4 linked regions of the Drosophila melanogaster genome follow. The protein of the gene in region 1 purifies or fractionates together with the protein of each later gene. This does not show direct contact. Each region holds a gene or a part of one and is shown in the gene's direction. Other genes may lie near its edges.

What was found.
Region 2: the proteins of Cpsf6 (region 1) and MED25 purify together in Drosophila melanogaster (affinity purification with mass spectrometry, with the first as the bait; one large-scale study listed by BioGRID). This does not show direct contact.
Region 3: the proteins of Cpsf6 (region 1) and Ptip purify together in Drosophila melanogaster (affinity purification with mass spectrometry, with the first as the bait; one large-scale study listed by BioGRID). This does not show direct contact.
Region 4: the proteins of Cpsf6 (region 1) and Sec23 purify together in Drosophila melanogaster (affinity purification with mass spectrometry, with the first as the bait; one large-scale study listed by BioGRID). This does not show direct contact.

What each region holds. Positions count from the first base shown.
Region 1 is NT_037436.4:8,309,016-8,318,543, reverse strand, and holds Cpsf6 (cleavage and polyadenylation specific factor 6), read left to right. Parts: upstream 1-3,041; 5' UTR 3,042-3,406; coding exon 3,407-3,472; intron 3,473-3,867; coding exon 3,868-4,587; intron 4,588-5,392; coding exon 5,393-5,533; intron 5,534-5,793; coding exon 5,794-6,260; intron 6,261-6,470; coding exon 6,471-6,770; intron 6,771-6,828; coding exon 6,829-6,897; intron 6,898-7,317; coding exon 7,318-7,513; 3' UTR 7,514-8,051; downstream 8,052-9,528. UniProt on the Drosophila melanogaster protein: May play a role in pre-mRNA 3'-processing.
Region 2 is NT_033777.3:20,005,647-20,012,824, forward strand, and holds MED25 (mediator complex subunit 25), read left to right. Parts: upstream 1-3,300; 5' UTR 3,301-3,413; coding exon 3,414-6,005; 3' UTR 6,006-6,066; downstream 6,067-7,178. Other genes in the region: Hs6st (heparan sulfate 6-O-sulfotransferase), read right to left, coding at 589-774; CG17190 (uncharacterized protein), read right to left, coding at 6,234-6,947.
Region 3 is NT_037436.4:14,025,364-14,032,035, reverse strand, and holds the start of Ptip (PAX transcription activation domain interacting protein), read left to right. Parts: upstream 1-2,914; 5' UTR 2,915-3,191; coding exon 3,192-3,266; intron 3,267-3,645; coding exon 3,646-6,189; intron 6,190-6,246; coding exon 6,247-6,672. Other genes in the region: endos (endosulfine), read left to right, coding at 1,044-1,229, 1,616-1,789.
Region 4 is NT_033777.3:5,646,107-5,654,255, forward strand, and holds Sec23 (secretory 23), read left to right. Parts: upstream 1-2,958; 5' UTR 2,959-3,131; exon of another isoform or gene 3,132-3,252; 5' UTR 3,253-3,275; coding exon 3,276-3,554; intron 3,555-3,613; coding exon 3,614-4,863; intron 4,864-4,925; coding exon 4,926-5,079; intron 5,080-5,147; coding exon 5,148-5,696; intron 5,697-5,874; coding exon 5,875-5,898; intron 5,899-6,274; coding exon 6,275-6,364; 3' UTR 6,365-6,523; downstream 6,524-8,149. Other genes in the region: MTA1-like (metastasis associated 1-like), read right to left, coding at 948-1,109, 2,391-2,418; elm (ethanol sensitive with low memory), read right to left, coding at 7,146-7,648.

The sequences.
Region 1 (9,528 bases):
TGAATTTGACTCTGCTTTTTTTATGGGTTCTTGTTTGTGCAGATACATATGTATGTATAACCCCAATGCGGAACTTAAATTCGATTTTCCTCTTAATTTCCATCCCGTGCGCTTCCATTGATGATTGGCAATTAAGATTGCGTCGGGTGCATGGACTAACTCACGTAGCTGACCCATATTCGGAGTGGCTCTGCCTCGGCTGGAAGCCGGTTTTGGATAAGTTGGTCAGTGGTGCGATTGCCACTGGCTGGAGTACCGTGACATGGCAAATGGGGCTAGCAGTTGGCCAGATTTTTGAGCCCCTTTTTTGCGCCTCTCTAGAGCAGCTTTCCTCGTTATTCGCTCGGTATTTATCTGGCCAAAAGGCAAATTAGTCAAATGGTAACAATTATATAATGGTCGAGTTATACTTGGCCACTTGGCGAGAAGTGGGCGTTGCATGTTTGCCTTTCACTTTTTTTTCTGGAGCTGAATCTGGATCTGGAGCTGGATCGGCCAGCTGCTGTGCCAGGATATACATACATATATCAAACGGCACGATTATACAATATGGCCACGTAATTAGTCGCCTCGTATGGCGGCAAACAATTGCAAACAGTTGGCAAACAATGTTTGAATGTTCTCCAAAACAGCAGCGGTGCGCAATTGAGACATTATTCAATTTGTGACAATCGCGAGAAAACCGAGTAGAAAACTTTAACAAGAGCGAAAAACAATTAACTGCATTTTGGCGGCGATTTCCCAAAGCGATGTTCTAATTTTGCAACCGAAAATGCCTCGCTGGGCCCAAAGTTGTGAACATTTAATGAGCACCAAAAACGTAAATTTAATTTATATCGTTTTCTAAGCTTTTTGTCAGACGACAAATTTCGTAATGTTTTTTTTTTTTTTTGTTTTTTGTTCGCTTTTTGTCGGTTTCTGGTGGTTTTTTTTTTCTTTTTTTTTTTTTGTTTTGTTTGCTGGTGATTCGTGTAAACTGTGCCGACTCGGCATGGAGCTTTGGATTTGGACCCTGGTTGCATGTCAAAGGCGCATGAAACGCGCCAGCCTGCCACAAGAATCAAATGACACTCGGCCTGGTCCATTTCGGTCGCTCCACGGAGTTAAAAAAATTATCCATGCAGTGCAGTTTGTAGCTTACAGTTCGCAGTTTGCAGTATGATATGGTCAAAATACCCAGCAGTGTGTAGCCTTAATTGGCACCTCGACACTTGGCCAGGACCGAACCGAATCGAATCGCATCGAATGACTGCTGCTGTGTAGGTGCACTTGATGGCCGGCTGTGGTGTGAGATTTATGCATGTTCTCTTTGCGTATCCATTGCCCAACTGATGGTGGTGGAGCGGCACGACGGCTACTGGGCAGTTGGAAGCTTGGAAGTTGCAAGTTGGCACTTTGTTAGGCTGCGGCGCCGCTTTTTGATAAAGTATCCCAGCCAATGGTCACGCAATAAATTTTTGACATGACTTACGCACGTCCGAAATGGTCGATGGGGGGCAATTGATATGAGTGGTAGCCATTATGTAGATCTAAGTGATCGGAAACATTCAATAACACTTATACGACTTTTATGATAGCCAGCCAAAGGCCACACGGCGTATGCGCAATATTTTCATAGCAATTGATTTTTATCCTATTATTGTTGGTTATTTTAAAAGCGTGCAGTATATTTAAGATAAATACTACGTGCGTAAGTCTCCTCCCCTTCAATGTTGCACCTTTGAGCCCCAATTCTGTCCCAAAAATGTCAGCGATTAGCCGAGAATTTCAATTGACTGCACCCTCGCCACCAACATCCGTCGATTTCCATCTGCGTGATTGCTCTTGAAGAACCGCCCACCTTGAATTGGAAACACATTTCCACATATGCAAATCGCGAAAATCCAATCTGCAATAGCTTTATTCGCTGAAGCATTTAAAAATCGATTGATTGCTGTAAAGATCGTAATTACCCATTTAATTACTCTTGTTAATTAAACACACAATCGCATGAGGCGAGAGCAGCAAATATAATTGCCGTCCGTTCAGATTGGACGATAAAAGCCAGTGGTAATTGACATTTAAGGCAATTCATTAACGCAACTAACATATGGGAGTCAAAGAGCCAAAGTTAAAAACTAAATACCAACAGGTGGACTACTGCCCAAATACGAGAAGAAAAATGAAAAAACATCAGATACACGAATAACATGGCTAATCATGCACTAGATTTCGGGATATGTGTCTTTTTTTTCACAGGCCCGACTAAAAAATGCTGCCTCGGTTTTTTTTTCCCCCAATTTTTCACCGCGCATTTGCATACGAGTGGCCAAGTCGACGGCGCCACAATCTCCTCGGTTCCCAGCCACCAGCAAGTTCGAAGATTTCGGAGAGCCGAGTTGTTAGCGGCAATTATTGTAACCTGCAGACGGGCCGCATAAATCAGCTTAATTGCTATATTTAAATTCTAAATTTGGAGCTCTGGCCAAGTGCGCTGTCTAGTTGTGCAAGTGACACGGTCAGCGTCTATTTGGACCTGCAAATCTAATATATGCATGGCTATAGTTTTTGGGCAGCATTAACAATTTATGCAAATTAATGTGTGTGTGATGGTGGTCCCCTAAAAAGGCAAATTTATTAGAAGTATGCATATTTAAATTAAGATATGCCTGTTATGGGTGTTGTAATGAATGTTAAGTATTTTCACATGTCGATTTTTAATAACAAAGAACCTAATGAACTTATTACACATTTCAAGAAAGTTCTAACGGTTGGTTTTAAAATTCAAAATTCGATAGAAGTCGATATATTTTCAATGGTTTGTGTCCACGCTACGACCACAGTCAAATTGGAAATTGATGTCAAGTATTTGTGATTATTTTATGGTAATAATAAAGCGATTTAGGTAACAAACACATCTAATTAAATTCTATTCATTAAATATATTTTATCGTAGTTGTATTCTCATTAACTGTCAAATTGCGGAATACCCCAAACAGGATGTGGTATTTTCTAGTATGCGAGCAAAAATATACCGCATAGGTTTTCCACATTTCAGCTTTACAGTCACACTGCACCGCTCCGCCATTTTACGCTGACAATTTTTTCGCAAGATTGAAGAAACTAGTTCGTGCACGAGTAGAATGTAAATAGTTACAGAATTCACCCAACGGAAAACAACGCGCCAAAGCAATTAATCAATTAATTGTGCAGCGGGCGCGATTACCCGGCTAAATCGCGCAGCAGCACGCCGGTTTCTGCTCCGGCTTCCCCCTCCCCCGCAAAAAAAAAGAAACTGTACGAGGCGCGAGTGCAAGTGGGACAGAGACGGAAAGATTGGCGAGTGTCTTAGTGTGCGTGCGAAAATTGGGAAAAGCGGTGAAAAATCAGTAATTACGCCTAGGAATAGCAACTTTTCCGGCTCAACATGGCCGACGTGGTCTTGGATCTGTACGCGGAGGACCTCGACAAGGACTTTGCCGGGCAGGCTCAGGTAAGCCATGGGAAAAAGGCAGTCGCTCTGCAAGCCGCGTGTGTATGTATACAGTAGGGTGGATCGATGTCCGAAAGAATTGCGTTAGGGGGTAGAACGGCGTCTTGGGCGAACTCGACCACTTGGTACCTTGTAAAGTAGGGTTCTAGGAACTGAGTGCAGGGATATTATATTTATATAAAAATGAAACGTAATTTTTTTTAATTTCTTTAGCCATGGAAATGTAGAGAATTGTACGAATCCCAATAACTATACATTCTAAAAATTCTAAAGTAAAAATAGAGTAAAATCGAATTTGTAAAAAAAACAAGACTTGATCGTTTATTTTTAACGATTTTACGGGATTCCCACAACAGTTTGACCCACTTGTTAATTACTTTGCTTTATCCGCACAGGACGAATTTGGAGGCGATGGAGTAGACCTATACGATGACATAGGCGGTCCCACCGAATCGGCCGCCTCAGGTGGCGGGGGCGGTGGAACGCCCTCCGCAGATGGAGCCGCAGGGCCAGGCTCCGGGGAACCCGGCGAACGGAATTCCGGTGGTCCCAATGGGGTGTACCATCAGAGCAGTGGTAGCCTCACTCCGACCATGAATCGCCGCTACCAGCTTTATGTGGGCAATCTCACATGGTGGACCACTGACCAGGATATCGCCAATTCGCTGCGAGACATTGGCGTGAGTGATCTACAGGAAGTGAAGTTTTTTGAGAACAGGGCCAACGGTCAGTCGAAGGGCTTCAGTGTAATCTCCCTCGGCTCAGAATCTAGCCTGCGCGCCGTGCTCGACCAGCTGCCCAAGAAGGAGATGCACGGCCAAGCGCCGGTGGTCACGTATCCCAGCAAGCAGGCACTCACCCAATTCGAGAGTCTGCAAAAGACGCGTCCAGTGCCGCCGCCGCAGCAGAATGGACCGCCCAGGGGTCCGGCACCACCCAGTATGGGTGGCGGGCCAATGCCCACCGGACATCCAGGAGGACCGCAAGGAGGTGGACCACCGGGACATCCACCGCGCGGGATGAACTCCATCATGCAGCCGGGCCAGTACCGACCGCAGCACATGTCGCAGGTTCCCCAGGTGGGCGGACCCAACTCAGGACCTCCACGAATGCAGGTACACAACCACTGTTTTAGCCCCACATGGCCCCAAGAGGTCTCATCGTTTGTAGAAATATCGCTCGGTTCTAATTTGTTTTGTTTCTACATTCCTACATTATTTCCTATTTCCATCAAAATTGTTCTGAATGCAAAATTTGCTTACTTAGGTAAAATTAGAAACCCTAAATATACGACTTCATGTATAGTTTATAAACGAATATGTTCTACTTCAGTTGTTCGATATTCTTTTGTAAATTAAACGTAGAAACTTAGTTTTACAATTTAGAGAAAACAATAACGACTTTAGATGTGAGATATAAACAATCTGAAATATCCGATCTCTTGTTAGTATTTCATTTGATAATTTATAAACTAAACTAAAGCTGTCGTACAAATTAAGTTTCTAAGAATTTTTATTTATGTCTTTAAGTACTATTCTTATTCTTTACTTCTATTAATTCACAAGTAATTTCAGAGCAATTTTTTGTAGCACTCCTCGGCCTAAGGCAGTTTGTATTCTTTTTACTCCTTTTGTACTCTAGTCATAGACTTTCAACAAAAAAAAGCACATGTAATAAATTAAAATCAAGAGCAGTGCCTTCCTGGTTCCACTCAAATAATATATACTTTTGATTTAATTGCGTTAATGTATTTCCCCCCCTAGTATTTGTAATTGTGTATAATGGCCCGCTATTGTTATACAAAATGTTTATGTATTACGATTTATGTTCTATTCCATGTCTTTGACAACGCTTACGCACACTTCTACCCCACAACAACAACTACTACTTCAATATAAAACGTAATTCGTATTAATATAGCCGCCAATGCATCCGCAAGGCGGGCTCATGGGGAACCAACAGCCGCCACCCCGGTATCCGTCAGCGCAGGGCCAATGGCCAGGTCAGCGGCCAGGCGGGCCGCGACCAGGTCCACCGAACGGACCACCGCAGCGACCAATGGTAACAATCCCCAAAGCACTGAGTCCTCTTTGTATCTATGCCATAATATAATTCTAACGAAGCCAGAGAGAAGGCGAGATAAAGGAAGACTAACCCAACTTAAGTTAACCTTAGTTAACTTAGTCTTAAGCGATGTATTCAGAACATTTTCAGTAATTCCACAGATCAACCCATGCAACACAAACTCATACTATAGCTTAGAAACCGATTCGATCCGATCATTGGGAACAGTAAATAATCTTGTCTCTTCTGCCTTGCAGTTCCAAGGAGGCCCAATGGGCATGCCCGTCAGGGGTCCGGCAGGTCCCGACTGGCGTCGTCCACCCATGCACGGTGGTTTCCCGCCGCAAGGTCCGCCACGTGGCCTTCCCCCAGCACCAGGTCCGGGCGGACCACACGGCGCACCCGCACCCCACGTGAACCCAGCATTCTTTAACCAGCCTGGTGGTCCTGCCCAGCATCCGGGCATGGGTGGCCCGCCCCACGGAGCACCAGGTCCACAGCCAGGCATGAATATGCCACCGCAACAGGGCATGAACATGACGCCACAGCATGGACCGCCACCCCAGTTCGCCCAGCATGGACCACGTGGTCCGTGGCCGCCACCGCAGGGTAAGCCACCAGGTCCCTTCCCCGATCCGCAGCAGATGGGTCCGCAACTGACGGAGGTGGAGTTCGAGGAGGTGATGAGCAGAAATCGCACAGTCAGCAGTTCGGCGATCGCCAGGTGAGTGCAAAGGTTTTTAAAATGTTTTCTTTAACGAGGTCAAAACTTGTAGTTATTATTTAAAAACTAACCCATTCCTAAGTCGAATTCATAGAAAATTCCAATTATTGAAACTATGACTCAGATCCGGTCTAATTAATAAATTATCTAGATAATTAATTACTTTGTTGATCAAATATCAATTCCCTTTTTATGCTAATTTATTTTCAGAGCTGTTTCTGATGCAGCCGCTGGTGAATACTCGAGCGCCATCGAGACACTGGTCACAGCCATTTCACTGATCAAACAGTCCAAGGTAGCGCACGATGAGCGATGCAAAATTCTGATTAGCTCGCTGCAGGACACGTTGCATGGCATCGAGGCCAAGAGCTACAATAGGCGCGAAAGGTCGCGGTCGAGGGAGCGATCTCATCGCAGCCGACAGCGACGTGAGCGTTCCACGTCCAGGTACCGCGAGCGATCTCGGGAGCGGGAACGCGATCGGGATCGTGAGCGTGAACGGGATGGCGGGTAAGTTTTGGTTCTACCATGTGTAAGCCTCACACTTAATTCCGTATTCATTTTCTAGAAGCTACAGAGAGAGGTCTCGCAGTAGAGAACGTGAACGCCAGGCTCCAGATCACTACAGGGATGACAGGTAAAGACGTTCTACTTCTAAAAATTCGCTTCACTGTCTCATTTAAAAGTTGCTGATTAATTAATCATAGTGCTTCATTTAAATAGCATAGAACTCATAATTTATTCACTCGTAAACAGATTTTTTACTTTTGCTGTAAAAACAAGTGTAGATTTGTAAAGTCAGACGAAACTTTATTTTAAAATATTTGGAAAAATGTATAATTTATTAAAAGGTAGTATTTTTAAGGTATAGGCTTTTCAAATTTTTTATTTTCATTAAAAGCTTTCTGTAAAGATGTTAGCTTGAATTGTAACTGTTTAGGCTCATCAGAATATTTTTGCTCTTTTGTGCAACAATATACGGTGACAATTAAGCGAATTATTTTTAAGCTCGAAATGAAAACCTTGCGTTAATTTCAATCCCATAATCCGAAAACAGCCGATCGGTGCGTCCACGAAAGTCGCCGGAACCCGTAGTCGCCGAAGCAGCGGAGGCGCCATCATCGAAGCGCTACTACGAGGATCGGGAAAGGTACCGCTCCTCGGACCGTGAGCGACGCGACCGCGATCGAGACCGCGACCGCGAGCGGGAGCGTGATCGCGACAGGCGTGAGGAGCACCGTTCCCGGCATTGACTGCCGTAAGTGGAAGTTGGAACCATCGCCAGTGGACCCGTAATCAAGTGTAAAGATGCAACACAGATATACTAAACACACTCTATTAACAAACAATAAGCCGCAGCTTGGTGGGATGACAAGCTAGCCACAATTAACAGATTTTCGATTTGTATCTAACATTACCAATACGTAGGATATGAATATGGCAAACAGCATAGTTCTTCTAGACATACTATAATAAGCCGAAATGCTGACAAGATTTTACCAACGACGGACGGGGACTGCCTCTGGATCCATCCAACTTCACATCACAGAATCCTGGCAACATCAAGACCGGCAGACCGAAGTCAGCAGCAGTAGCAGGAGGATCGATGGAGAAGCCAAGGGGACAGTCAGCGTGGGACATTATAGACACTGATGCGCACTGGATCATCAAACAACAAACAACTAGCATTCCTGCACCGCCGTCTTCGCAGCAGAATTTCAATATTATTGTACTCTAAAATTTCGGTTTATTTAATAAAACATAAACGTATGAAAAAAAGAATTGTTCCAGAAAAAACCTTTACCAAAACTGTCTTGTATTGTGTGTCTTCTTGTACTCTTATTATATAAAAAAAAAAACATCTTATTAGTTAATGACTTTATAATTGTACAACAAAATTGTATGTAAAAATTACAAAATTATTGCACTTGTGCGTGCAATTAATATGGAAATTGTTATATTAACAAAATCATTTTGCCGACTGAGGCCGAAAATCGTTATCCCTAATGTATTTTCAAATATTTCGCGATCTTTTGTTGTAAACATTCTCCACGCATTTGTTTAATCTTGTTTTTATTTAACAATTAAACTTAAGTCGATCATAATTGTGTGCTTGAGACTGAGTGTGAGTGAATTTTTGTAGCATTCAAATGCCGACTGAATCCATCCGCATAAACGGATGGAGAAAACCATATGTTTGTATAGAATAAGTCGAGTGTGTGCTTTTAGCCCAAATACCATGATTTTTAGACTAAATTACTCTAAAAGAGAAACGTCCCAATCGCATTTATCGTAGTTAACTATACTAACGTTACAAGCTGATGTAGTTCCTAACATAGGTTCCAAGAAAAGAACAAAGTCATTCAGTTCCCCCCGAGATACTGTACTACTCGCGGCTCATTTTACACAACTTAGGCCTCCAATTGTATCATCTACATTTTACTTTTTTAAATTCTAGCTTTACTTTTAATTTGTATATACATTTTGTAAACGATACTCGACTAAGATCATGTCCCACTAATCCCGAATTGCAATTACACCTTGTTAAATCAAGTCTACGATTTGAAAAGTACCTGTAACTCTCCGCAGAGCGAGAGCCTAGAGGTGTTAAGAGTATTATGAGCTTAACGATGTCTTGTACAATTTATACTGTGATTGTGATCTCGATGAAACAAACTACATATGAATTTATACAAACCATTACTGTCTGTTAAGTCATGCCAAAGCAGGTAATGTTGTCCCATTCTTCTGGGACCCTATATATACACTATAGAATTTTTAGAGTTTTCTTGTTTTATGGACAAGTAACAGCACCTAGTCGCCCAATTTGCCATAGTTTATTATTTACCATGTACAATGTTTTTAGAAAATACGCCAATTACCTTGTTTTTGGATCTAGCGCGAAATAAAAAAAACATTTACTAGTCGTTTCGAACTTCGTTGCTTTTCAAATGGAAAGTAGGCAGCGCGCGCAACCGAAAAACACGTCATAGAATCATCTGGAAGTTCGAAAAATGTCCGTTTACCCAACACTGACTCAGGTGGGCAATTGTCGAAAACACCACCTTATCAACAGTGCTGACGGTGTTCTAGTTTTGAAAAAAAAAAGGCTGGTATAAAATCCAAAAGATTTATACAAAATTGAACTGGAGTATTATTTATTTATTCAATTAACAGGATTATATGTTAAACTTAATTTATAGTATGTTGTACAAGTATTTATGTGTATACGGTGAGTTTAATAATGAATACGAGCATAAAGTTCAAA
Region 2 (7,178 bases), on another chromosome or scaffold:
GACCCAAATATACCAACCAGAAATCCATAGTTGTTTGTAAACTTTATGCTACAGATTAGACTAATTTCAATACGGGGCACGCGTGTCAAAGATTTATGAATAATAACACAGAAGCACAATCGCCTGCAAGCGAAATCTTATTATGTTACACATTTTCCATTTTTGGAGGAATTTCATTAGCACCTTTGCGTTTGCGTAAACAATTTCCGAGTTTTAAAGGCGCCAACCGAAAGGCTGTAAACAAAACATTTTGTTTTGTCTAATTAAAGCTCCCAAAAAATTGATAAACATCGAGAAAGAGTTCTATATTATAAAAGCTGTCTTTAGCGCCGAAGGGAAAAACACTCCAACGCATATTTTTATACGAATATTTTAAATAATAAATTTATTAATGCGCCATAGCAAAACAAGTTTCGTGCGATCCAAAAATGTATGAATGGTAATTCCAATAAAAGCACACATGTACGGCAAATATTAATGAATAAATTCAGCATTTCGCCAATTGGTGTGCTAATTTGCATTGGAGCCAAGTAACAGAAAATTATAAATTATAAGCAATGGGAATTAATGAGGGGATTTGGCACTTACCTGATCTTGACAAAAGTATCCAAATCCGATGATGCCGGCGATGGCCAGGAAGAGGCAAAACACAATGATTGTTCGGATTTTGGAGCGCGGTTCCATTTTCTTGATTTCATAAACACCACTGGGCAGCAATAAGGCAAAATCACTATCGACTTGAACAGATACGTTCTTATGCATATCCCCGGGCATGTTCCATTCCCTGGCCTCCCTCGAAAATCGCACTAAAGGTCCAACAAGGGTCCACCCGAGTGGAGTCCAAGCGGGTATCCGTATCGGCCTAGCGCAACGAGAACCAGACGCGAATCGGAGGCGAGGCCAACTCAATCATACTTCAGTCGCTGCCCGATAAGAACTCGAAAAATGGGAACACCTTCGCCCATTGCACTTGGCGCGGAAATGGGTTTTCCTTGTCTCTCGGCTTTCAGTGCCTGCAAATGGAGTAAGAGTGAAAAACGGTTAGAAACCTATTAGTTTTGGGAGCACTACAAAAGCAACACCGTTTCCGATTAGTTACCACTTGACCATGCCGATAAAGCGGTCTGTCAAATTGTCTAGCCCTTATCTAGCCACTTACTTAGTAGCTGAAAGCTCTTCAGGGGAAAATCAAAAATAGTTTTTAAGAACCTAAATCTATGGCAGACTGATAAGAAGTTCACAATTAAAACGTACATACATAGTTAATTGGACTTTCTATTTTTTTGTTAGGGTCAAAAACTGATAAGCAGGCGGTGAAGTTGATTTATCGTTTAATCTGACCCTATTTTAATTGCAAATCTATTAGTAAGTATTCAAGACGGGCGTGAATAACAAACGTTTGTGCAATAACAAATTTATCTTTATTTGTGTGGGAAATCTTAAATTAAATTTCCACGCGCGAATGCGATCTGCAAATGTATAGCGTAACGATAAAATACATAAATCAACCAATAATGACGCAATAGTGGAAAGTGAATGGCGGAGCCGAAAGCAATGCATTTAGTATACCCTTAATCAATTAAAAATACGTTTAAATACGTTTATTATTTAAAGCAAAAAACCTACATCCGTACATGATAATACGTGCAATTACTCAAATAATAACTTATTATAGTTAAAAAATAGTTTGTACTTATTTCATTTAATATTTAAATTATCTAGTGATTCTTTATTTATAAGAACATATTGTAGTTCAGTTATAAAAATAGTTATCAATAATATGGTAAATATAATGAATGAACAGCCTTTGTTGTATGGGTGATTATTATCACAAGTCGCTTTATCTGGCTTCGATATTGTTTATATGTGATAAACCCGATTGGAAAATGCGTAACATATTAGGGTTTGAATGATATTGACTACATGCGAGTAAGTTGCATTTAGGTAGGGTATTTAAATGTACAAACACCCAACTAAAATAACTGGCGATCGGCAGTCGGAGTGACGCCCAAGCATAACTGGTGCCTTATATTTATGTAGGCGCTTTTTACTTCACGATCGGTGCTTCTGTAGCGATCACAATTATTGTAAACAAATGGAAAAGTTGCTTATTGGCAAATTGGACTAACAGAGAGACAAGAAAAAAAAGGCAGATGTGGCGAAACATGTTGCCAGGCAACAATAACAAAAAAGCATGCATGCTGTGCACACATGGCCGTTTAATTCACTTCTCTGTACTCTAAACTATACTTAAACCATGCTAATTGCCTACCCAAATTATCAGGTTTTTCGAGGCAGTGACGTCAGGGCAAGGAGTATAATTATAATAATAGAATCAAACGATTTAGCAACATTGCAGTAAAAAAAAACAGAAGCAAAGGGGAGCAACAAAAACAGAGAGAGGGCAAAATAAGAGAGAGGACAACCAGACAGAGCGAGATGCCAAACAACAGCTGTTCTTCTTGCCAGATGCGAAATGGGCAATTTAATGAAATTTATCTAGATTTCACTCACTTTTCACTTGCCAAACGTCGTGTTTGTGCACTTTTCACAATTGTCGCGGCGTCACACGTTTATTTATTTACATTTCTCTGCGTTTCAGGCGCTCGCACGCTCAATTAGCGCGCTTTCCGCTTTGTGCCACACATTCTGTGCCAGCCACAAAAAAGCCCGCAATTCGCACTTTCATGTGTTTTCGGCTATTTCTGCGATCGTTTTTCCTGCACTTGCACTGCTCAATAGCTAATGTTTAGTTAATTGACACTTTCTAAGCGTTTTGCGTATATTTTTTACGAATTATTTTGGCAAAACGACGCGGTACCAGCGTCAACGTCCGCATTCTTCAAAATCGGCGAATGAACTGAACAAAACGAACTGCGCAAGTTGGGCAATAGGAACAGCTGACCGCGCTGCCAGACTGCCGAACGGAAACTCGCTGCGAGAGTCTGGCAGCACTTGCAACCATCGATATAAACTATTGGTAACGAATATTTAAAGAATTAACTTTATAGTTCCATTGAAAATACATACATAAAACAACTATAATTATGATACCTAACATAAAACATCGTAATATCTTATTTATAGTTATCTTTTGTATGCAATATTCAATTTTAAGTTAATTAGATAAACACCAAACGTTTTTTTATTTGTGAAAATAGAAAAAGAATTCAATAGAAACAAGTTTTCAAGGCAATCTGCATATTCTTAAATCCAACTTTATGGGCACTTTTGAATATTCATTTATTTTGCAGCCCTAGCAATCGCTGAGCGATAACCATAAGTTGACTATCGATAGCAGCAGAGCGATATGCAAAACAAACGAAAAAAGTAAAAGAGCGGTGTAAAGCAGACAACATAGTTTACATTTTTTGCAACAAGTTTTTCAACTTAAAGCCAACTCCCATCGTCCAATGGAGGTGGACCAGATTCCCCTGGCCGACGTGGTCTTCGTCATCGAGGGCAGCGCCATCAACGGAGCCTACATCAACGAACTAAAGACCAACTACATCCTGCCGACTTTGGAGCACTTCACCACTGGCTCCATCGACGAGCGGGAATACCTGATTGCGGAGCGCTTTGCCACTCTGTACGGTATTGTGGTCTACCGTACAGCGGCCAATCTGCTGGAGCCAGTTTGTTCAACCTATGGTCCCTTTCTGCAGCCCCAAAAAGTGATGGAGACGATCGAAAGATTGCCACTAGTGGGAGGCGGAATGGAGTCCTGTGCCCACATGGCCGAAGGATTTGCTGCGGCCCACGGCTGTTTTGATGACATCAGCGAAAGGCGCCAGTTGCTCGATCAGACCAGCGTCCAGAGGCACTGCATTCTCATCTGCAACAGTCCGCCGTACCAGATGCCCACAACGGAGTCGTGGAAGTATCCGGGCAAATCATGTGAGCAGCTGGCGGCGCTCTTCAACGAGCGCAAAATCAATCTCTCCATTATTGCGCCACGCAAGATGCCGGTGTTGTTCAAACTTTTCATGAAGGCCGACGGAGATCAGCCCATTACGAGCAAAAACTATGCCAAGAACATAAGACACCTAGTGCTTCTAAAGGGATACAGCCTCAAGGAGAGAGCACCTAGTCCCAACAGCATGGCGGCCCAAATGGCTGCACCCAATGCGGCACAGGCTACAGTGCAGCAGCAACAACAACAGCAACAAAATCAAGCTGGTCAGCAACAACAAGGGCAGGGCATGCCCATGGACACCACTCCAGCCCAGCAGCAGCAACAGCAACAACAACAGCAGCAGCAACAGCAACAACAAGGCAATCCTCAGCAGCAGGTCATGAACATGAACACGATGCAGCAACAGCAGCCCGGTCCAAATCCCCCAGCGGGCTTACTCAATCCACAGCAGCAGCAGCAACTATTGCAGCAGCAGCAGCAGAATCAATTCGTTTCCAATCAAATGCAGAATCAGAACTTCCAGCAAAACGTGGGACCCGGCCAAAACCGCTGGATGTATCCCAACCAGCCTGGTCAGGCGCGTCCGCCCTTCATGCAGGGAGCAGGCAATGTGGGCGGTGTGGGCCAAGGCGGCGGCATGCAACAGAATCCAAATTCTGCTCTGATATCGCGCATTAATGCGCCGCCGCCGAACCAAACTGTGACCTCGCTGCAGCAGCAGCAACAGCAGCAGGCGCAGCAGCAGCAGCAGCAGCAACAACAGGCCCAACAGCAGCAGCAACAAAGGATGCAGATGCTGAGCCAGCAGCAGATGCTAAATCACCAGCAGTTGCAGCAGCAACAGCAACTGGCCCAGCAACAGCAACAGCAGCAGCAAGGACAGCAACAGCAGCAGGTAAATCCCAATGCAGGAAACAATATGATGCCGGCTAGCAATGCCGGCAACATGTCTAATCCGCAGCAGCAGCAACAACAAGTAGGACAACAGTCGAATCCGCAGCAGCAGGGCAATCCGCAGCAGCAACAGCAGGGAAATTCGCAGCAGGAGCAGGCCTCCTTGAGGGAAAAGATATGGACCGGAGTGCTGGAGTGGTCAGAGAAGCCAAAGTCCGATCAACAGAAGATTCCCCATACACTCCAGTGTACCGTGTGCACCAACATCAAAGATGGCGAGCCCGAGATCAAGGCTGAGAACTGGCCGCCCAAGCTGTTGATGCAGCTAATGCCCAAGCACCTAGTTGGCAATATTGGTGGGCAGTTTCTCAAGGACTCGAAAATGGTTGTTTTTCGACCCACTCCAGGAGAGGCACTCGATTCGCTGGCCAAGATGATGACCTCCGGCTATGCTGGCTGCGTCCACTTCTCCTCCATCCCCAACTCACCAGCCTGTGACCTTAAGGTTCTCATCCTACTCTACACGCCCGATCGCAACGCTTTTCTGGGCTTCATTCCCAATAATCAGGCAATGTTTGTGGAACGTCTGCGCAAAGTCATACAGCAAAAGCAGCACGGCAACATGCAACAGCAGCAGCAACAGCAGCAAATGATGCAGCAGCAAGGCAAGTCGCCCATGGAGCTGCAGCAGCAACAGCAACAACAACAACAGCAGCAACAGATGCAACAGGATAACTCGCAGCAGCAACACTACAACCAGTTCCAACTCAATATGCAGATGGGTGGTGGAGGTCCTGGCGGCGGACCTGGTCCCGGTCCCGGCGGCATGCCCATGCAACAGAATCAAATGCAGATGAACATGATGCAGCAACAGCGAATGCCACTGGGCGTAGGTGTTGGCGTGGGTGTTGGTCCCGGTGGCGTGCCCAATCCAAACCTCCAGCAGCAGTTGCAACAAGTGGCGCCAAACGTCGCCGCAATGCAGCAGCAGCAGGCGCAACAGCAGCAGCAGCGCATGGTGCGTCCCATGATGAGCAACAACAACCCGGGGCTGCGCCAGCTCTTGCAGCACCAGACCACGCCAGGCAATCAGTTCCGGCCGCAAATGGGTGGCCAGAATCCCAATCAAATGGGAGCAGGCGGTCCAATGGTCGGCAATCGCAACTTTGACGACGGAAACTATGAGTTCATGTAGGCTACTTAAGAGTATCGTATAAAAAACCAGAATTAAGACAGTAAAATATTTTATAAAATCCAACTGCAAGTCTTTTTTGGGGTAGTGGCAAAATCTATTTCCCAAAATCGAAATATTAATTTCTCCATTTTCATAACATTTCGTTTATTTAATTAGTAAGAATCAAGGGAAATCCGAATTTGCACAAGACTTATATTAATCACAGAACATAATCTCCGAGAAAGTCCACTAGTTTGCTCCACCGCCGCCGCCCCCCGAGGATGCGGAACTTGCACTTCCAGCGCTAGCGGCAAACACCTTGCGAAGATTCTGCAAGATGCTGAACAGAACCGTTCCCGCGCTGCCCAACGTTTCCAGAACATCGAATCCGGTGCTGTCGATGGCTGTCTCCCGATCCTCCTCCGTTTCGATGGCCGGGGAGCTGATGTTCCCGCCATTGTGGTGAGTTTCGTGGACGCCATGGTGTCCAATCAGCCGATGAGTATTGCTCTTCACATGGGAGTCGTTCACGCCGCCACCGCCAACTGTGTTTATCAGGTGCTTCACCGGCTCCAGGACCGGAATATTTAGCTTAATGCGATGCCATGCATCCGCAGTTTCGGTGAAGCCCTCATGCTGCTCGCCAGTGGCCTTCATCTCATCATCCAGCTGGTTTCGCTCGCTGACCGGATCGTCGTCCGTCTCCAGGGACAGCTCCAGACTCATGTTTCCCTTACCAGGCAGTTGCAACAAACTGCCGAAGAGCTGTTGCAGATGCGCCGAGTTGGTGGCCTCCGCCTCATTCTGCTCGAAATCGAACTCTTCACGTACTCCCGACTTGGGCTTCTGGTTCACAAAGCTGGTCACATGCAGCATTCCATTCTTGGTGCCAGAATCACTGGAGTTGGTGGGCTTGGCGGACGTCGTCGTCGTCGTCGTCGTCAGCAGTAGCAGCCACAAAAACTGCAGATACATTCGGAGAAATGGAATCTATAATTGGCGCTTAATGACCGGCTGCACGTACGTTAATGAATATTGAGTATGACCGGTAATAAGGCTTTCTATATTCAAATCCCAACGCGCACGCGTCACTGGACCTTGAATTTGGTTGAATAAGATATGGCTGCTTTACAAATCAAAGATGAGGTTTCTAAGTTATGATATGTGCCCATCTATACACTTAGAGAAAAAACC
Region 3 (6,672 bases), 5.7 Mb from region 1:
TTACATTTGAATGCTATACTGCTATACTATATTTGAATATATTAAAATAAATTTAAATTGAAATGTGCACTTATAAGAGCGCCCTCTCAATGTGTTAATTTGTTCAATGCATAGAACAGCTTACATTGTGTTTAAACATCTTTTTTTGAGCATATTTTTTCGCTAACATATTGGGAATATGTATGTTTATTTGATCCTCGTAGTTTATATTTTAATTTTTTAAGCAAACAAATAAAATTGCAATTGCTTATCGATGACAACAATGGTTTGAGCCACAGCTACTCGAAGCTGGACAGTTCAGTATTGAGCAACTGTAGTTTCGATAAACGATATGTTCCGAAATAACGCCTTCTGCTATCGAAGACAGTCTTGCGTCTGTAAAGTGATAAAATAATTTTACAATTGAGTCGCCTTGGGAATTTCAGTCACTCTCCACACACCAAATACATAGCTCGTGTAACAGCCTGATTTAGTCGAACAGCACATCATTTGCCGGAATCGTTAGCGAATAGCAGCACTCTCCGCTAAGTCGGCACGCTAATTGGCAAAACCGATTCGATTCCAGGGAAGGAGACACACTGATAGACGGGTGAAGAACAAAAGGAGAAGGAAAACAACAGTTAATCGTCAAATTTTACAGGCAAAAGGTGAGCAACTACGCCTTGCACACAAACAACCGCATCGACGAGCAAACGCACGCACACACAAGCCTTATCGCCTGCGTAGTGGTTGGTGTATATAAAAAATTAAAACAATATTTGCACATCCGATTATTACTATAATATTTCGCGTCCACATATATTAGCAAGTGTGCGTGCGCCTGCCCTGGATTTACGTGCCAGTGTTTGTGCGAGCCTAGCGCGTTTGTGTCTGTGTGTGTGTGTAATGAAATGCAATTTTCTCTTGGCATTTTGCGCGCCTCCGATTTTCGCTGCCCCTCTGCAATTCCGCCGCCTCCCCCTCCTTTTGCCATTTAAGTTCTCCCGTGTCGCCATTGTCGCACCTTGGCTAATCCCAGTACTATCACCCGTAGGCAGCACACAATGAGCTCCGCGGAAGAAAACAGCAACAGCCCGGCCACCACGCCCCAGGACACCGAGACCACCGAGCAGGCTAACCTCACGGATCTCGAGAAGATCGAGGAGGAGAAACTCAAGTCCAAGTATCCCAGCGGAATGCGCGTGCCGGGCGGACACTCGGCCTTCCTCCAGAAAAGGCTGCAGAAGGGGGTAAGTGATTAGCACAATTCGAAAACAATCAAACAATAAGTTTACTAACTTTCGGTGTTCGGGGATACCCAAACCCTGTAATATGAATATCAATTAAAAATAATAATAATAATATTATTTAGTAGTATTTAGTACCCGTTGTTTAAAGGAAAATAACAATTCATGTTTCCTCTATTCTAAGATCCATACTATTTGGCAATTGCTTTCTGAAATCAATGAAACTCAATAATCACAGCGCATAGTTTATATCAACTTGATGATCTGGTAAACGAAATCAGATTGTTACATTAAGTTTGCATTTGGAAGATATCTCCGTTTTAGTTCTAAAAAGCTATTTGATTATATAAGAGAAATCTAATATGTATTCCTTCATATCCTTCCCACAGCAAAAGTTCTTCGACTCGGGCGATTACCAGATGGCCAAGCAGAAGGGTGGCGGCGTCAAGCAGGTCTTTGCCAACAAGGTGACCACCGGGGAGGCCATTCCCACGCCCGAAACCGTGCCGGCGCGCAAGACTTCGATCATCCAACCCTGTAACAAGTTCCCGGCGACGAGCTAATTTACTCACCACTCAACACTCACCTCTACTGTATCCACAACCTCAAGTGCAGCCAGTTCTCCGTTCCCCACTTCAAATGCTCTATACCTAATTTTAATGAAAAACCTAATGCTAAGATGGCTGCTGCCGGATTGTGCGGGCATTTCGCGACAGTTTAAACTGAAATTCTAGCACCATGTTCCGTGTTTCCCCCGTTAAATTCAATCGCCATCCGCACTGGCCAATCAATCTCAAGATCAACTCATCAGTCCATCTCTCAGGCCGGGGAAGCGAAGATGGCGAGCCGAGCAGCGCGAAATTTATTGCAACAGTTATATATATCTCTATCTTTGTAACATTAAACTAACTTACCCTCGTCGTACATAGTTGTAAGTATTACGAGCATAATAAATTTAAGTTGGAGCAGCCAGCCACACACACACACACGTTCTCGTACATTACTGGGATTCCATCAAAAGTTTTTAAAAGTTCACCATGTTCTATGGAAAATGTTTTTATATTTTTTTTTTTGCATTCATTCTATAAGCAGTTGACGGAATTTCACCAACTAATTGATAATAACATAGGTACTGCTGCTTGCAGAGCTAAATTTTTGATGCAAAAACCAAACAGTCGAGTTAAAATGAATTTGTAAATCAAGCAGAGCTAAAATAAATGTATGTACGTATACTTATAAATGTGTTGATTTCCTGGGGCGCTAACCCAACAACTGAATCGGAAATGTGCCATACAAATGTTTACTTAAATTATAAGTGCCCGGAGTGGAGTCTAATTAACTAGGAAACGTTCCTTCGAGCGGTGTGGTATGGTAATTGGTTGTTCAAATTGGACGGGAACGAAATGAAATCACCAAAATAGGTGGGAAATACACAATATTTAATACAAATAGATGGGTTCATATATTTTCATACGAACATCGTGTTTTAGTTAAAAGTTAATCGAACTTGCAAAGTGAGTTTTAGGCCCAATTAAAAAAGTTTTAACCAATAAAATCGCTTTTTGGACCACAGTACAAATGAAATCAATCAAATATCCAAGTTTTCCACCAATCGATACCAGCAGATTAAGCATCCATATTGCCACACTTCTGGAACTATCGATAGTATCGCATAAACAGTGTTTTGTACCAACTCTAGGCGGAAGGCGCAGCGGTGATAAAAGAGAAAAAGTGATCTTTAAATGCAATTTTTCGGTTCCAAATTGCATTTGTTATGTGCTACGCGATAAGCACCGCATCGCACACCGTTTTTCGAAGTTCGCAAATGGCCAAGATCAGCGGAAAGACGAGAAAACACGCTGCAATGTAGATGCCCACGAGCAGCCGCGGCAGCAGCAATAACAAAAGCAAAAGTGAAATTAGCGCCGCCAGAGAAGTGCAAGTGGTCAAACAAACGGCGGCGCCATGGAGAACCTCAAGATAAGCGACAAACTGTTCGAGGATGTGATATACTTTGTGCTGGGAAATCTGGACGAGGAGGTAAAAAGCTGCAAAGCGAATCTTTCGTTTGCTGTTGCTGTACTTGCATTGTGCGTACGTGTGTGTGTGTTTGTGTGAGCGGGTGTGCGTGCGTCTCACAGGGTGGGTTGGAGCGCGGGCGGACAGGGTAACCCGGGCACCTTGGCAAATGCGCGCCATAAAAGTTGCCGGCAAATTGCCGTGTTTGTGTGTTTGTGTACTGGAGTTTGTATTGGTGCTAAATCAACTGATTTTTGTTTTGGTTCTCCTCTACCAACGGAAGCAACATATTTGGCACCCTTGAAAAAAGAATTCTTATTTGGTCACATACATATATCTTTTATATATACTGTTTAAATCAAGTAATGTAATAAATAATTATTATGCCTTTGCCTTGCAGATCGAACGCTTTCTTAAGAGCGGTGGCGCTCAATCGAAACTGTTCCTGTCGGACCAAATCACCCACATGATATGCGCCACCAACTACAACGAGGAGGAGCTGTCCATGAACCTGGACCTCTACAGTGCAATTCCCGTAACGGAGCAATGGATCGTGCACAGCGCCAAGCTAGGCCGAATGGCCTCGACACGGGCTTTCGACCCGAGTCCGAATCAAATGCGGTTGATGCGCGGCATTCGGGTGGCCATCACCAATGTAGTGGCAGGGGATCGAAGGCGTCTTTACGCCATGCTGACATACCACGGTGCCGTAGTCACGCACAGCTTTGGGGCCACCAACACGCATCTGGTGTGCGGTGCAGCCAACGGTGGCATCTACAACAAGGCGCTGGCCCTGCCCAAGAATGCCATCATTATTGTGACGCCCGACTGGGTGACAGATAGCCTTAAGTACAAAAACTGCATGCCCGTGGAGACGTATCATCCGAGACTGCTGAAGCCCATTGAAAAGCAGCGAACACAAAAGCAGCAGGCTACGCAGCAGCAACAAATTCAGCAGCAGCAGCAATTGCAGCACCAACACCAGATGCAGCAACAACAGCAGCAGCAGCAGCAGCAGCAACAACAACAACAACAACAACAACAACAACAACAACAACAACAACAACAACAGCAGCAGCAGCAGCAGCAGCAACATCAACAGCAGATTATCCAGCAACAGGCAACGGCTACTTCTGCCCTATCTGACATCCTTGGCTTTGGCGAGGACAGCGTAGCTGCCAAGAGCATCGCTAGCATTAAGTCTCAGCTGCAGGCTTCAGCTGAACAAATACAGCAGCAACAGCTGCCCGTACCCGCACAGCAGCAGGTGGTCTTTGTGCGCCCACAGCCACAACCCCAACAGCCAGCACAACAATCCCCTCACCAGTTACAGCAAGGTGGTCCTCAAGCACCTACTCCTGCACCACACCCGCAGCATCAACAACAATTAATAATTCAGCAGCAGAAGATTATCCCCGCCAACCTGCAGCAGCAACCACAAAACCAGCAGCAAATCAAAAATATCCTACAGCAGAGACAAATGAAAACAACGCAGCAGTCTCAGCAACAGCAACAAATCCAAATGCAACTAATGCAGCAGGAGCAACAGCCGCATCCTCAACCACTTCAACAGCAGCTTGCGCAACAACACCCGCAACAAATCGCACAGCAACTTCCACAGCAACTTTCTCAACAACATCCACAACAAATTCCTCAGCAACAGCAGTCGCCCCGACTGCCAACGACTCCAACAGGCCGGCAGACACCACGTACACCATCTACAACGCCGCAGCCCGTGCAATCCCCTCAGCACCACCAGCAGATAGTTCAACAGCAACAGGTGGTGCAGCAACAAGTGGGCCAGCAGCAAACGATGGTACAGCAGCAGCAGATAGTTCAGCAACAGCAAATTGTTCAGCAGCAAGTTGTTCAGCAACAGCAGCCACAACAACAATCTGTGCCGGTTTCGCCGCAAATCATACACCAACATCTAATGCGGCAGCAACAAATTTTGAACCAGAATCAAATGCAATTGCAGCAAATCGTGCAAAGCGGACAAGCATTGACGCCGCAACAGCAGCAGCAACAGAGACAAATTCAACAACAGCTGCAACAAGTTATGCAGCAGCAGCAGCAATTACAGATGCAAATGCAGCAGCAACAACAGCAACAGAATCTACAACAACAACAGTCGCCTCGGATGGTGCAAAACCGTTCGCCGGTAATGCCACCAAGTACGCCATCCCCATCGTTGCAGCAACAGCAGCATCATGCAACTAGCAATATGTTGCCGCCACAATCGCCGCGACAACTGCAATCCCCAGCTCCCCAAATGACTCCGCCACCTCCGCCCTCGCCGCAAAACGCCCAGCAACAACATTTGCGCCAGCAACAGCAAATGCAACAGAATCGACAACAGCACATGATGGGCTCGCCACAACAACCTCAACCACAATCTATGATGTCGCCGCAACAGCAGCAACAGATGCAGCCCTTTCAACAGCCCGTCCATCAACAGCAGCGCATGCAATTGCAGCAGCAACAACAATTGGCCCAACAGCAGCAACAACAGCAACAGCAGAGTCCCCAGCATATTTCTCCGCAATCGCCCCAGATTTCTCAAACTCCACCCATGCAGGCAAAGCTGCATCAGCATCAGGTGGTTCCTGGACAAGCCACTCAGCCGCAGCAATCATTCTCCCAGCAGAAGCCTATCGACCCAACGGACCCCGTTCAGGTAGCTCAAGTGCTCAGTCGATCTGCATTGAGCAGCAATCAGGACTCGTTGATAATGAGGCAGCAACAATTGAAGCAGCAACAACAGATGCAACAGCAACAACAAATGGCACCGCAGCCCCAGCAGCAGCAAATGGCACAGCAACCGCAACAGCAGCAGCAGCAGCAACCACAACAGCAGCACACCCCTTCTCCGCGACAATCGCCACTGCAACAGCAACCTACTACCCCCACCTTGCAACAGCAGCCAAACCAACAAAACGCTCAAGTAAAATAAAGAACATATATTATTTTTTACCGGAAATTAATGATTACTTCTTTTTAGCAAATACAGCAGCAACAACAACAACAACAGCAGCAGCAGCAGCAACAACAACAGCAGCAGCAACAACAGCAGGTCCTGACGCAGCAACAGCCACAGCCTGGACAACAGCAACAAGTCATCACTCAGCGCCATGTTATAAACACATCCACGGCTCAAGGACAACAAATCATTCAAAGTCATATGTCTTTGGCCTTGCAGAAGCAGCAGCAATTGTTGCACGTTCAACAACAAGCACAACAGCAGCCGCAGCAGCAACAACAGATTACTCAAGTGCAGCAACTGCCACCGGCACAGCAGCAGCAACAGCTTCCGCAACAGCACCAAGTTCAACAACAACAACCGCAACAAGTTCAGTTTACACAACAGCAGCAAATAGCACTTGGAGCTGGTGGTCAAGTGCGGATAATTCAACAAACCATACAACGT
Region 4 (8,149 bases), on another chromosome or scaffold:
TCCAGATCCCAACTTCTGACTTGAACATTTTCGTGCACACAGAGCAGCAGTGTCAGTGGGTTTGGGGTTGGGTTGGGCATGGGTATGTGTGGCAGCTTTTCAGAGGTAGACAGACTACTACTGTAGTCTACCTACAGCCGAACCAAGTATCACATTCACATTGACGTCGGCGCCGCCTAGCAGCAACCGAAAACAGCAACAACCGCATTACGGGTAGTATAGTGCAGCCCAGCTCATTACAGTCGAGCATCATTAGAGCAAACCGGTGGCACCTTAACGTATGTACATATGTATGCCTAAGGTTGAACTTAATAATTTACAGGCTATTTCCGCACCACGATGCGTGTTTATGTTCATTACCAGTTCCCAAAACACCTAGTTTCTATGACCAATATCTTTTTAGACTATTTGCTAAATGCTTTTTCTAATTTGCGACACGAATAATTCAAATTGCGCTACTGGAACGTAGATCAATGGTGCTTCTGGTTCGAAGTAGAGTGGTTACACTGCCAGTTGATGTGGCAGGTTGTTTGAAGGTTCCACTGCCTGTTTATGTGGATGAGTCGGATGCTGGACGAAATCCGTTTTCGCTCCGCCCTCACAGTTGTTGTCATTGCGGTTCTTGTTGCTCAGGAAGTTTGACTAGGATTGCGGGATGGGGTGGCACTGTGGGAGGTTGGGTGGTTCGGTGGGTGGCTTCGCTTTCCACATGCCTTGACACAGCGCACACAGTGGTGCCCCTTACGGGTTCATTTTGTTGTTGTTTTGTGGTGGGCATGTGCTTAGCAGATCTGGTCGTCAGGTTTTAACTCTTAACTTGTTTGAAGGCCACGACAACGACTCTTGGCAACATAACCTCACTTTGTTGACAATAAATATACACACTTAGAGGTAACGTAACGCAAGATATGGATGCGGTTTCGAGGGAACAGGGTTTCTCTACTCACGTTGGTGTTTGTCGGCCAATTGCACGAGCGGATTGGGCAGATCCCGGCGGCGGTAGAAGCACATGACCTTCGCTTCCACATTGCCGGTTTGGTTTTTGTTCAGCTCCTCGATGCGTCGTATTAAGTAGGGACTGTTCGGCGTTGTCTCAACGTAAACATAGTCTGAAAAAAAAACAGTTTTTGAGGTGGCTGATGCAAAAGGGTCAGAAAAGGGCATGGAAGGGTGGGGGGCTGCAACTCCATTAATACGTCACAGGTAAGCGCACACATACACCTATACACGCATCCACCTAAGTGCGACCACCACTACCAGCTAAAGCGCAATTAAATACATATGGGTCTATCCATCCATATAACTTTATACCTACAACAACTGCAGCGGAACCTGTCGTTGACTATTATAAAAAATAAAAGAAATTCCGTTTATCTGTATGTACATACATACATAGATACAAACGTCGTGTGCACTTCTGCTACATTTTGGGATGCAGATACACAGATAGATGGGTAGATAGATGAAGAGAGATGAAAAAGAAAGTGTGGAGGCAGCGAGAAAGCATTGCCGAAGGTGTGTAACTGTGTGCGTGGCCATTAAAAACGGCTAACAAAAAACGCCGATGGAGACAAAAAGTTCTCGGCGATAAAGAGCAGATAATTCGACAAGTATATATGCCATTAATATTTATTTTGATTCCGTTAATTGAAAGCTTGCGTATCCGACCGAGCTTATTTGCATTTCGAAAGAGCACACACACCCACACACTTGCGAAAATCAGGTGAAGACAACACAATAACGTCACCGCTCGAGCGCGAGCGAGATGGCTAACAGAAAGTGCGTCAGGCAGGGTGAGGAGTGGGAGGCGTGAGATGGGGGGAGATGCTCAAAAGCTCATTAGCATATGAAAACACAAAAAGGCGGGTGGGCGGTGAGCCCAAAAGTGAGATACACTTTCGCACATAGTCAAACAAACACACACGCTGGAGAGATCACAATTCGGCAAAACCAAATCCAAATGCAAATGCAATTCAGTTCCCCAGCCCTAGAATACACACACACGCATACACTTAGGGCATAAGTTAATGCTTATCGGTTGGAACACGTCGAAAACACTTGCTGCAGCTGCGACACAAGAGCAGCAGGGGGCTCCTTCAAAGAAGTTAAAAAAAATAGAAAAGGTCTCTCCTTTTCGACGGATTGTTCTTGAGATTGATAATACACGCACACACACACACATACACGTGCGTCGGGTCTCCCACTAAAGGGTTTTCGGCAATTAAAATGCACTTTCGTTATTGTTGGAAAGCCTCCTCAGACACAACACACACGCATACGCACACATTGGACACACACACACATATGCAGAAGCGAACACGCACACCGTGAAACGGCGGCGCCGATAACGAAAGATGATAGAAAAGCGAGTACGCGAAAATTTTTCTCACCTCCGACTCGATACATATTTGTGGCCATTTTCACTACGCTACCGCACCAAAACTTTCACATGCAAAACACTCGGCACACGCTTAGCACTGTTTTTCAATGGTCCTGTTCCAAACTAGCGCACATTTATTAGCAGAAAACTCGAGTTGTTATGATTGCATTTTTCACATAAGAAGACGCGTTTTTTTCGTCGCCATCTTAGAAACAACTCAACTCTAAAAAATACACGCACACACACACAATGCCGAGTAAACAGCTGCACCAGGGATGCACTCCACGGTGCGATAGTTTGGCCATCGATAGCAATCGATACATGGGGTGTTGGGTAAAAACTTAATGTTAAAATTTAGTTGGGGCGATAAGAAAAACGATAAGGGGCTTTTCTAGGAATACGATTTATATTTATTTATATTATATATACTTCTTGAATAACAATATATATCATTAAGAAAATTAACTGAAAAAATTATGGGCGAACCTTGTTTTATTTATCATTTTCAAAACATATTTATTTTCACCCTTTTTTTCTCATATTAAAACATTCATTCAATCGCATGGGGCGCATGCGATAGTATCGCTTGAAAACTGTCTTCCCTAACATGCAACGTTTGCACTTAAAATTCTGTAATAGTTCGTAGTCTAGGTTTCTACGTTTTGTACGTTTGTATAAATTGTTTCCAGAGTGAGTGCTTTGATTTGAAGAGCCTCTTAAAGACTCATCTCGCGAATTTGTTTACTTTCGCGTGAGTATTTTGGCCGTCGCCAGCACGAAAGGTGTCACGACTCGCTGTCAATCCGTGACGTGGCCTGACCGACCGATTTTTCCAATTGGCAGAGGTCTAACAGAGGTTTTTCCGATTTAAGTATTACATTTAAGTGTTCCGGCGATGACCACCTACGAGGAGTTCATCCAGCAGAACGAGGACCGCGACGGAGTGCGGCTGACGTGGAATGTGTGGCCCTCAAGTCGCATCGAAGCCAGTCGGCTGGTGGTGCCCCTAGCTTGTCTTTACCAGCCTTTGAAGGAGCGCCCCGACCTACCGCCTATTCAATATGAGCCGGTCTTGTGCACTCGCAGCAACTGCAGGGCCATCCTGAATCCACTGTGCCAGGTGGACTACCGTGCTAAGTTGTGGGTGTGCAACTTCTGTTTTCAGCGCAATCCGGTGAGCTCAATGGTGATCTTTAGACTCTCTGCGGCAGTTTATGACAGTCATTATTCCAGTTTCCCCCTCAATATGCTGCCATTTCCGAGCAGCACCAACCAGCGGAGCTGATTCCGGGATTCAGCACTATTGAGTATACTATTACACGGGCCCCCACCATGCCGCCCGTCTTCATTTTCCTGGTTGACACCTGCATGGACGAGGAGGAGCTGGACGCCCTCAAGGATTCGTTGCAAATGTCGCTAAGTCTGCTGCCAACCAACGCTCTCGTGGGTCTGATAACCTTCGGAAAAATGATACAGGTGCACGAGCTGGGCGCGGAAGGCTGCTCTAAGAGCTATGTGTTTCGTGGTACCAAGGACCTGACTGCCAAGCAGGTGCAGGATATGCTCGGAATTGGGCGTGGAGCGGCTCCGGGGCCGCAGCAACAGCAGCACCTGCCCGGCCAGCCGGCTGGAGCGGCGGCCCCTGTGCCGCCCGCCCATCGCTTCTTGCAACCGATCGGCCAGTGCGACGCGGCGCTGGGCGATCTGCTTAGCGAGTTGCAACGCGATCCTTGGCCGGTGCCGCAGGGCAAGCGTTACCTGCGCTCCACTGGTGCCGCCCTATCTATTGCGGTGGGCCTGTTGGAGTGCACTTATCCCAATACGGGCGGTCGCATTATGACCTTCGTGGGTGGCCCTTGCTCCCAGGGCCCCGGCCAGGTGGTCGACGACGAGCTGAAGCACCCGATTCGTTCGCATCACGACATCCACAAGGACAACGTGCGGTTTATGAAGAAGGCTATCAAACACTATGATGCTTTGGCATTGCGGGCAGCCACCAACGGGCATAGTGTCGACATATACTCGTGTGCCCTGGACCAAACCGGACTGCTGGAGATGAAGCAGCTATGCAACTCCACTGGCGGCCACATGGTCATGGGCGATTCGTTCAACTCATCGCTCTTCAAGCAGACATTCCAACGCGTCTTCGCACGTGATGGTCGCAACGACTTGAAGATGGCCTTCAATGCCACGCTGGAGGTGAAGTGCTCGCGCGAGTTGAAGATCTCCGGTGGCATCGGCTCGTGTGTGTCGCTGAATGTGAAGAGCCCGTCGGTGTCGGATGTGGAGATCGGCATGGGCAACACGGTGCAGTGGAAGCTGTGCACATTGAATCCCAGCTCCACCGTAGCCTACTTCTTTGAGGTGGTCAACCAGCATGCAGCCCCCATTCCGCAGGGCGGGCGTGGCTGCATACAGTTCATTACGCAGTACCAGCACCCAAGTGGACAGCGGCGAATCCGAGTTACCACACTGGCCAGAAAGTATGTGTTGGCATAAATCAGCCCAGAGTTTACTTACGTGGTTCAATCTGTTTGTTTTTCAGTTGGGCCGATGCCACCTCGAACGTGCACCACATCAGCGCTGGCTTCGATCAGGAGGCCGCCGCAGTTCTGATGGCCCGTATGGTCGTCTATCGTGCGGAGACTGACGAAGGACCCGACATTCTGCGCTGGGTCGATCGTCAGTTGATTCGTCTGGTAAGTTTTCAATGTGCAAAATTACTCGTGCCCAATTAATTAGTATTGTAAATGCTTTCCTTTTACAGTGCCAAAAGTTCGGCGAGTACTCAAAGGACGATCCCAACAGCTTCAGGCTGTCGCAAAACTTCAGCCTATTCCCGCAATTCATGTACCACCTGCGCCGCTCGCAGTTCCTGCAGGTCTTCAACAACTCGCCCGACGAGACCACATTCTATCGACACATGCTAATGCGCGAGGACCTCACCCAATCGCTGATCATGATCCAGCCTATTCTCTACAGCTACTCGTTCAACGGCCCTCCAGAACCGGTCCTCCTCGATACGGCTTCCATCCAGGCGGATCGCATCCTCCTGATGGACACGTTCTTTCAGATTCTGATTTACCACGGCGAGACCATCGCCCAGTGGAGAGCCCTCAAATACCAGGACATGCCAGAGTACGAGAACTTCAAGCAGCTGCTGCAAGCACCGGTGGACGACGCGCAAGAGATTCTTCAGACGCGCTTCCCCATGCCTCGCTACATCGATACGGAGCACGGCGGATCCCAGGCCCGCTTCCTGCTGTCCAAGGTCAATCCCTCGCAGACGCACAACAACATGTACGCCTACGGGCAGGTGAGTCTCGCAGCCAGCGCCATCAACTGGCCACATTTGATTGATCTTTGCAGCGCTCCATTTGGCGTCATCGAAAATTTAATCTCAATCGAAATCTCAATCTCGTTTTATGTTGGTTTTGTTTCTCTCATTGTATAATCCGTACCCGTATCCGTAACCGCTCCTTTGTCAATCGCAGGCGCCCATCGGTCAAGTCACGGTAGTACATATTTGTTTAATTTTCAACTTTTAAACTGGTGGAAAGGTGGATATTTGAAATTTAAGGGGCGGGTAAAAAATCTTTGGAAATTGGATATGTCCTTTGCTCTTGATAGCTATAAGTCCAAAATAAGTGTTTTGGATTTTGCAATAAATCTAAGATGGCCAACCCCACACGGCTTAATCTAAGCAAAGATTTTGTCTGTTCCTATTTTTTCATATTGTTTTTAATAATTTCAAACATGATTTATATATAAGTGGCTTTTGGTGTTGGACCCTTCTAGGTGCTTGTATCCCTTTTTCATTCATCCTCCCCTCCCCACTTGGCACGATCCCACCCACCCATCGCATGACTAATTTTCCGGACATTATCTCGACAGGATGGCGGGGCTCCAGTGCTCACGGATGACGTTTCGCTGCAGCTGTTCATGGAGCACCTCAAGAAGCTGGCTGTGTCCACCACCACATAAATCGACTCTGGCTCTAGTTTCAGGCGCTTGCTTCCCTGGCGAAGTCGAAGAAGGCGAACGACACCTGGAATCAATGGTCCAGGCAATGAAATTACGAATATACAACCACTTATTCCAATTGATCGTCTTATAACGCAATAAACTATTCAAATTATGTTCAACAATAAGTGTGTTAATCCGCGATGCTTTTATTCGTAAGCAGCTGAATTAGAATTTACGTTGAGCGGAATGAGTTTGTAATTATAAAAACAAGGCATTAACAAAATGAAATGAGCATCTCTTTCATTCTTCATAACAACTATTAATACAAGTAAATCCGACGGGTTCCTGAAACCTACAAGATTTGTAAAAATTATTTTTTTGTAATATAAGACAGCAAAAGATTTATTTATATTTTTATCATAAATATTTGATCAAATTTCCGGACGCATTTAACTTTTAGATACCAAGCAATTGGTTATATTTTTCTGTATTTCTCTAGCACCCGTGATCAAACATATGCATTTTTTGTTTAACTTGAATGAAATATCTTCGATAAGCTTTGGGCAAATTACTCAGGTTTAAAAAACTTTGCGACACTTTCATTTTCATTCATTAAATTGAAACTTCTAAATGGTTGGAAAACACAACTGGTATAATAAGAATAGCAACCACTGCTTTCAAATCATTAGAGTTTTCAGTAACCCGCCGGAATGCCTCTCGACTAACTGCATCCTAAACTATTTGGTACACACTGACTAAGAAGGTCGCTCTTTCCTCGTGATTGCCGCATCCAGCTAGCCTAGTTGAGAAACCGTATGGACATCTTCTGATCCACGTCGGTGCGGTCCAGAGCTTTGCAGAAGTCCTCGAACGAGATCTTGCCCTGGCAGCACAGGTCCGCCTCCAGGATCGTCCTCTCCGCAATGCTGACCAACTGGTCCTGGCTAATGTTCGCCCCGACCATCATGTGCAGGATGGAGAGCAGCTCGTCTCTGCTGATCACACCATCGTCATCCAGATCGTACATCTTGAAGGCGAACTTCAGCTTCTCCTCCCGGCTGTTGAGCTTACTTTGCTTGTTATCCCTCAGCGGCCGGAAGTGGGCCAGGACGTTCATGAACTGCCGGAAGTTCACCCGATCGTCGTTGCTCTCAGCGAAAAAGGAATGAACTATCCGCTCGCACAGCGGATTAATGGCCAGTTCCGGGATACGCATCAGATCCTCCCGGGACAAGGTTCCGCAATCATTGCGATCCAAGGAGGTGAAGCGCGAGTAAAGTCGCTCGATTTGGTTGGGGGTGACTGGAAAATAAAATTGATAAAAATTAACCAATCGATAATTAGTTTTGAATTAAATACAATTAAGATAGTACTAAAACATGTACATTCAACTGTAAATACCTATATGATATTAACTTTAATAAGCGATTTAACAGTCCGTCAAGTTAAATCATTTAATAAAGTTGTTTTTGTTGAACGACACTGTTCAGATAAATTACTTTTGCCATGGAAAACTCGAACGATACCTATTTACGAACAGTGTGGGCATGAGTCTAAGCCCGTTCGGAATTAGTTGCTATAAAATCTGGCTGATAAGAGCGAACGCCTTATCATCTTAGCTGATACTAGCTGGTCGAACATTGGATACAAGTTCCAATGCGGTGGCAATTTCAATTGTGCGCTTATCGCGCCCGGAATATTGAAATTACACGCTCTCGGACACTAGATAATTGCCAGCCCCAATATCGGTGATAGGCGTCGACTTTTGCCCCCACCCACCCCCGTCTCATATATACGTATATA